Oryzias latipes: one gene and its partner. The protein of the gene in region 1 purifies or fractionates together with the protein of each later gene. This does not show direct contact. Links are inferred from orthologs where the notes say so. Each region holds a gene or a part of one and is shown on either strand. Other genes may lie near its edges. The genes, in order: pard6b and llgl2.

The links.
Region 2: the proteins of pard6b (region 1) and llgl2 purify together in Homo sapiens (affinity purification with mass spectrometry; 7 studies listed by BioGRID and IntAct, counting the BioPlex papers as one, with this or other methods). This does not show direct contact. The link is inferred for Oryzias latipes from reciprocal best matches to the Homo sapiens genes PARD6B and LLGL2.

Annotation. Positions count from the first base shown.
Region 1 is NC_019865.2:4,496,938-4,500,794, reverse strand, and holds the end of pard6b (partitioning defective 6 homolog beta), read left to right. Parts: coding exon 1-850; 3' UTR 851-3,042; downstream 3,043-3,857. Other genes in the region: arfgef2 (brefeldin A-inhibited guanine nucleotide-exchange protein 2), read left to right, coding at 3,507-3,669. UniProt on the Homo sapiens protein: Adapter protein involved in asymmetrical cell division and cell polarization processes. Probably involved in formation of epithelial tight junctions.
Region 2 is NC_019877.2:17,342,922-17,346,745, forward strand, and holds part of llgl2 (lethal(2) giant larvae protein homolog 2), read right to left. Parts: intron 2,659-3,824; coding exon 2,554-2,658; intron 303-2,553; coding exon 207-302; intron 139-206; coding exon 1-138. UniProt on the Homo sapiens protein: Part of a complex with GPSM2/LGN, PRKCI/aPKC and PARD6B/Par-6, which may ensure the correct organization and orientation of bipolar spindles for normal cell division.

The DNA of each region.
Region 1 (3,857 bases):
GGTTCTTCTGAGGCCGGACGCCACCAGGAAGAAGCACCCGGTGATCATCAGCCTCCCGAAAGACTTCCGCCCGGTGTCGTCCATCATCGACGTGGACATCCTTCCGGAGACGCACAGACGCGTGCGCCTGTACAAGCACGGCCAGGAGAAGCCGCTGGGTTTCTACATCCGCGACGGCTCCAGCGTGCGGGTCACTCCGCAGGGTCTGGAGAAGGTCCCGGCCATATTCATCTCCCGCCTGGTTCCTGGCGGGCTGGCGGAGAGCACCGGCCTGCTGGCGGTAAACGATGAGGTCCTGGAGGTGAACGGCATCGAGGTGGCCGGCAAATCTCTGGATCAGGTGACGGACATGATGATCGCGAACAGCCACAACCTCATCATTACAGTGAAGCCCGCCAACCAGAGGAACAATGTCGTTCGGAGCGGAGGGGGCGGGGCTGCATCTGGTAGTTCAGGGCGGTCGTCGGACAGCGGCGCCAGCTGCTACGGCTACTCCACGCACGGCGCCACGGCCTCCATGCCTTCACACATCATCCAGAACTTCTCCGCTGGGGAGCTGGAAAGCGACGAAGACGAAGAAGACCTGGTGATCGAGGCTGGCGGCGAGGCCGAGCCCATCAGACGCACCTCCTCCACATACAGCATGCCCTCTATGCCTCGCTACGAACCACACCTCAACCTCCGCACCGCCTTCACTTCCGCCTCCGCCTTCTCCATCCACACCAACGGGACTCTGCCCGCCAGCAACAGCAGCGGATCGCTGAATCACGCCGACGCCAATTCAGCCACGCCGTCGCCAGACAGGGTCAGGCGGAGCCTGGAGGAGGAGGGCACCGTAATAACGCTGTAGCCTCAGCACTGACTGAACTGTCCTGGGAAGGAAACACTCAGGGGGGGGGGGGTAAGGCATCACAGACCAGAAAATAAAACCCCCCTTTGCCCCCGTCAGGCAGCGACTGTTCCAGAGAAACACTAGCGTCACACCGACACCTCCATGCAGAAACGTGAAGGAAAACACTACACTTCTCTACATGCCAATGATCATGCATGTGTGCCAAAGAGGTGACACCCCCTCCGCACCCCCAGCTCCATAGAAATGTGAAAGAAGAAACACAAAAGTCTAGTTTAGCCCCCAGAAGCAGTTATTTTCTCAGTAGTTTTGTTTTTGTTAGCCAGCTCCTTTTTTCTCTGGTAACCCCCCACCCCACCCCCCACCTGTAGCTTTACAGCATAAATAGTTCTATTCAAATCTACTTAAGTCGGTGACATGTCAGTCAACCAAATCTTCAGTTCTACTGCTTTTAGGAAACGCTCGCTCTGCGACGCTTTTAGACGAATCTTTGTACCTCTCTGTAAAACGGACGGACCCACTAAGATGGCTTTTTTTAATGACAAAGCTTTAGTTCAGCCGGTACTGAGATTGCATTTTTAAAATTCAGAAACTGACAAATGTCTGCAAATGTGACTCCTGCACATTTTCTACAAAACCTGTCGCGATGTTTAGCATTTCTGCCCTCATTTCTTTCTGGACCACGTTTTAATGTGTTTCTTAATTTAATTTTATGCTGCATTTAAAGTCCCACTCCGATCATCTTGTCATCTATGTTCAAAGCGATCCCATTGGTCCTTTAAGTATAATTATGCAGTTTTTAGTCAAAATTGGTTAAGAAATTGTGTCGTTTTGTAGGACATAGTTTCTGCAGAGCGGCAGGAGTTCATTAGAAATTCAGCCCAGAGTTGTGGGTAGGATTTTTGGTGCAGAGCAACACCGCCCCCCTTTCCATCCCCATTGCTAAGCAGAGCAGGGAGCTCGTGGCTTGGAAATGCAATGTTAAGCTTAATTTTCTTTATATATTTGTCCTCCATACTTAGAAAAATGGCACAAGAATGTGTCAAAAACACGATTTGCATGGGACTTGAATGTTTTCAATACCTGTTTGCCTATGGAAAGTTTTATTCTCCAACATGCTTCTGTTAGAGCTCTATTCTGAGCGAATGACTTGCATTAAAACACCCACATTAATATTTATTTTAGTTGGTCATTTGACGCAGTGAGTCCCTGAAAACACACCCTGAGAAGCAAACACACATCCAGCCACACAAAATAATAACATTTCCATGTTTGTTAAAGGTGAGGCGGAGCCGTTTGCTCTCACCTGTGCTTTGCTGTCATTGGCTGTTCATTAAGTTCTTAATCATGAAGCAGATTCATTTATCAGAAGACCTTTTGCACATTGCTGCCAACTGCTTTGCAGGTGTCTTTGTTTTGTTTGTACCTGTTTATTTTTAGCACACCTTTGCTCTGAAGTGCTAAGTTCCATTGAAAGACATTCAGAGTTGTGTAAACACGCTAACGGTAGGAATGTCTGCGTTTGTAGGGAAACAATAATCATCTATAGATGAATCCATATTATCCGTACGACACTCTCTTTAGCCACAAGCTCAGTGCTGAAGCGAACTGTCCTGTTTGGATTTGGGAGCAAAAGCTGGTGGGTCTTCTTTCATTGCCAGCGTTCATCTAAATCTTTTACTAATCACTGTAATTTATTTACTGCATATCTAACTTCATCACGTGGCACTGGAATTGTAACCACAGCAACAGTTTTATTTATTCCACTATTTTTTGTCTGCTTTATTATTATTTTTTTTACAACAAAATCTTTTTCTGTGTATTCATGATTTTTCCCAAGGTACGATAGATTCCTTTAACCATTTACGCTCATTTAACTGGGTGATTTCAAGGCTTTTGTAAGGTATCAGATCTGTTGCTATTTTTTGATACTGTGAATTCTATTGGGGGGGGGGGGGGGGGATTAGCAACCTCAACATAGACAAATGTTTTAGACTGATTTTTGTTTTAATAATGGAGCAATGACTTTTGCTTGCCTGTTGAATCCTATGATATAGATTTGTAATGAATGTCAGTATTTTCATATCAATGCTGCATATGTTTTTATCACTATAAATAAGATGTACACACACAAACCAACAGGTGTAACTGCTGATGGTGGAGCTGGAAAAATAAACTAATATGTAGCAATATTTGCTGTTAAGTGTCGGTTGTATTTATGGGTAGCTGTGATGTTCAAAGTAGTTTGTTTTTTAAAGAAATGTGGGGGGAAACTGCAGATATCGTTTAATTAATTCTCATCATGGAGTTTGGCGCCATCTACTGGCTAAACGAAGTACTGATGGAAACCGGAAGTGCAGTCTACTACTCAAAATGTTAAAAATTAATTATATTTGTTTAATATGTAAATAAATTAACTTGAATTCTAGTCTATGGTTTATTTTAGGCGAGCTGTGAAGCCTAAAGTTTTCATTTCCAAGTGTGTGAGTTTTTGTCGAGACAGCTGAATGTCACGTGACGTGACGTCTAACCAGCATGGCGACGCTGAGCTGAGACAGGAACCCTGCTGGACACTGCGAGCCTGCCGTTCGTTAGCTTTCCTCGTCACCTGCAGCCGCGGGTCCTGGCGGAACATGACGGCCTGAGAGACCGAGCGATGCAGCAACCGCGGCCCCCGCAGCAGCACTCGCAGTCTGAGGCGGCAAACAACAAAACCAAGAGCATGTTTCTGTCCAGGGCGCTGGAGAAAATCCTCGCGGATAAGGAGGTGAAGAGGAGCCAGCACAGCCAGCTGCGGAAAGCCTGTCAGGTGGCGCTCGGTAGGTCGGTGTTTTGGTTTGGGACTCTGCTTTGGGGAAACCCGCGTGCGTGCCGTGTCTTTTCGCGCGTTTCAGTCGTTGTGTTTGTTGGAAACCGTAAGTTAGCTAGCTTTGCGCATGAACTGGCCTTGATCGGTGTGTTTTCTGTCTTTTTTGTCATAAAAACGGCGACGATCTCCATCGCTGCG
Region 2 (3,824 bases), on another chromosome or scaffold:
AAAAGCCACCAGCTTCCACTCCGAGTGCAGAATGAGGGCAGTGACCACAGCAGGAGGCTGACACTGCACCAGGGTGAAGGGCTGGAAGCCCGGGGGAAACTGCACCGGGTCCTCACGAACATCCAGCTGAGTGTGACCCTTTTAAGAAAAAGGTGTTCTAGCTCCTTCTCGGACTCAGGTAGGTTTACGTTGTATGAGATCTTTACCTTCCAGCGAAAGCCCTCTTGACCCTGCAGCAAATCTACAACCTGAGCCTCCACCGTTTGCTCTGCAGCTTCATCATTCAGCTCCAGAACCATGATCTGCAACAAAAGACCATTAATCTCACTTCAGGGCCATCCTCCTAATCATTATTCATGTGAATCCACAACTGTGACCTCAGTTATGGATGTTGGTTTCTCAGATCAGTCGTGCAGGTTTTCAACTGTTACTGGTCTTGTCACACAGAAACTTCCAAAGATAATTGTTAGAAGGCGTTGTCTCCACCCTGAAGTGGCTGCGAACTTCAACTCACATTTGGAACACAACCAACCAAATACTCTACTAAGTTCATCTGTTGATTCATCTGTCCAAAATTTCAATAACAAACTTAGAGTTTTGCCTTGATTGATGCTACAAAGCTTCTGAAAGTGATTTCCCAATTTAAAACTAAAACCTGTTCTCTTGATCCTCTCCTCACCTCACTTTTTAAGTCAGTGTGTTCGTCCTGTGAGGAGGAGCTCGTGAATATCGTTAACTACTCTCTCCAGACTGGGATCTTCCCCACGTCCTTAAAGACTGCTATGGTGAGATCCACCCTGAAGAAGAGCGGTTTAGATGTTTCAAATCTAGTCAATTACTGACCAGTGTCAAACCTGCCATTTTTAAGTAAAATGCTAGGAAAACTCGTTTTTATTCAGCTAAATGATTTTAATAATAAAAATAATATTTGATGAAAATTTCAGTCTGGTTTTAGACCACATCACTCCACAGAAACGGCGCTGGTTAAGGTTAGGAATGATCCCAGGTCCAACACTGACAGAAAGAAAACATCAGTTTTAGTATTGCTGGACCTGAGTGCAGCCTTCGACACAGTTGATTACTCAGTTCTTTTAAACAGACTCCATGACGTGGTTGGAAACACTGGAACAGTTCTCAGATTTTAATGTCAGAGTAAATGATGTGTCATCTGGGAGGCACGGACTGACATGTGATGTGCCACAAGGTTCATTCCTTGGCCCTACACTTTTTAACCTTTATTATATGCTTTCGCTTGGAAATGTCATCATGAGATATCGCATAAACATTCATAGTTGTGCTGATGGCAACCAGTTATATGTGGCTGTGTCTCCTGATGACCTGGGACCCATTGATTATCTTTTAAGTTGTGTTTTAGATATTGAAACATGGATTGGAGAGAACTATTAAAGCTCAATCAAGACAAAAGAGACATTTTAATTGTTGGTCCTGAGGCTGAGAGAGAAAGGGTCCAATCCTACTTATCAACTTTTATCTGAATGTGTGCAGTAAAGTCAGAATCCTCTGTGTGGTTTTAAATGCAGATCTTACCTCTGAAGCACACACAAACCAATTTACAAAGACTGCCTTTTATCATCTTAGAAATATTGCCTGAGTGAGACCCTCTCTGTCCAAAGCCAGTGCTGAAATATTAATCCATGCTTTTATAACAACTAGAATAGATTTTTGAAATGCTCTTCTTTTTGGTATTAATAAAAATACTATCAATCAGCTGCAGCTAGTACAAAACTCGGCTGCACGCCTTCTAACTAGAACCAAAAAGAAGGAGAGCATCGTACCGATTTTGAAATCTTTGCACTGGCTCCCAGTCAGCTTTAGGATAAATTTAAAGGTTCTTCTATTAGTTTGCAAAGGTTTGACTGGCACTGGCCACGTATTTTTATTAGATCTAATTTAGGTTTATGAATCTCCCAGAGCCCTCATTTGCAGGTGGAGGTCTGCTGGTGGTCCCAAAGGTCAGAACCCACAAGAAGGCCTCATTTCAGCACTGTAGGCCTCGCCTGTGGAACAGCCTGCATGAGGACGCAAGGGCTTTATCCACTGTGGAGGGTTTCATCATATCATTTGTATCATATCGTCTCTGATTTTATGATTTTATGTTAAGCACTTTGGATGCTTCTGCTTAAAAAGTGCTATACAAATAATAAACTGTTTTTAAGAAAAAAGGCATCTTTTTTAGCAAAGTTTTTACTTGTCCACATTTGATTTCATAAAACCTTATTAACAATTAATTCGATTTATTTTGATTGTACTGGTGGGATGTGTATGTGTTGTTTTTTTAAATGTGTTTTTATATATTTATTTTATTAATAGTATTAGTAGTAGTAGTAGTAGTAGTAGTAGTAGTAGTAGTAGTAGTAGTAGTAGTATTTTTACTGTTTACTATTTTTTTATTTTACATATATCTATTTTATTATGGGAAGCACTTTAAGATGCTCAAGCAGGAAAAGTGCTATACAAAAAAAGTTGAATTGAATTGAAGTGAATAGTGAAGGCTGCAGTACAAAGTTCTGCAGCGCTGCATGTTGCAGTCACCTGTCCCGCGGTGCCAGCTACAGTCAGATAACCACTGTATTTACACAGGTGGATCTTTTGAATGCCGAGCCTTGGGTCATCGCTGTACGGGTCAAAACAGCCCACCTGGAAAGAGAAGGGAAGTTAATGCAGGAATTGAGCAGAACCAGCTTAGCAGGAAAAAAACTCTGCTGGAGGTTCCAATGACCAATATAAGCATCATGATCGTGAATTACAAAGTCTCAATACTTCCCAACTGATGGATTTATAGATATATTGAGAATGAACAAAATATTCTGATTCAAACTCGACAGTGAGCAAGCACACACAGCTGAGATTCACAATTTCACTCAGTGCAAGAAAAACTAGGGGAATGACAAACAAGCCGAAATCCACAGAGATCTACAGGTACAAGAATGGGACCGACATTGGCTCAGAGAACTCTGGAAACCCCAAACCAAATCTGAGCAGAAGACTCCCCCTCCTCCCTACTTTACGCTGAAGGACCTATGTCATTTAAATTCTTTAAACGTTCAGAGTAAAGTATATCCATATATTTGCTAATATTGGCACACTAAAGAACTAAAGAACTTTGGGACACTACAGAACAATTTTTTAATGAAACAAGTTATTTTTGTGAGCTAATTTTCCAACCAGGAAGTAGGATAGCTCAATCTCGGAGGCACCGCCTTTCGCTCCTTGTGGGTGCCCCCCCGTTTCCTAGAACCTGCCTAGACCCGGCCTCAGTAGTGTGTCTGCGTTTCGCCCATGAAAACAAAGAACATCCACACTTTTGCAAAGATGGATGTCCATGTGCATATTGTGCATATAAAACAGATCATTTTCCCAGCAGAGAAAGTGGGTGTGTGTTAGTCAGGGGGCGGGGCTGGCAGCATAGACTTTTTCTGGAAGGGAGCTGTTCCCCAATTTGTTAAGTTACTCATTATCGTGGATTGCAAGGGGCAGGGGCTCAGAGAGCAGGGTTTTAGAGGAATGCTCAGAGATGCGTGAATGGATCAAAATTCCATTTTGGGGTTGTTTTTTGTGATGAATTAACATAATAATACCTTTTATACTAATGAGCCAACTCAAACAAAAGTATAAACCCGTGAGTGTCACACTGCTCAAACTGGAAAAACATCATTGTTGCAGAAAATGTATCACTCAAGTATAACCAAAACAACTTCAAAGCATCTACATAACACATTTAACCACAGCTAATATTTTAAAACCACAAGAATTCCTCTCTGGTGACAGACAGGAGATTAGATTGTGAAGACAAAACAAAAATT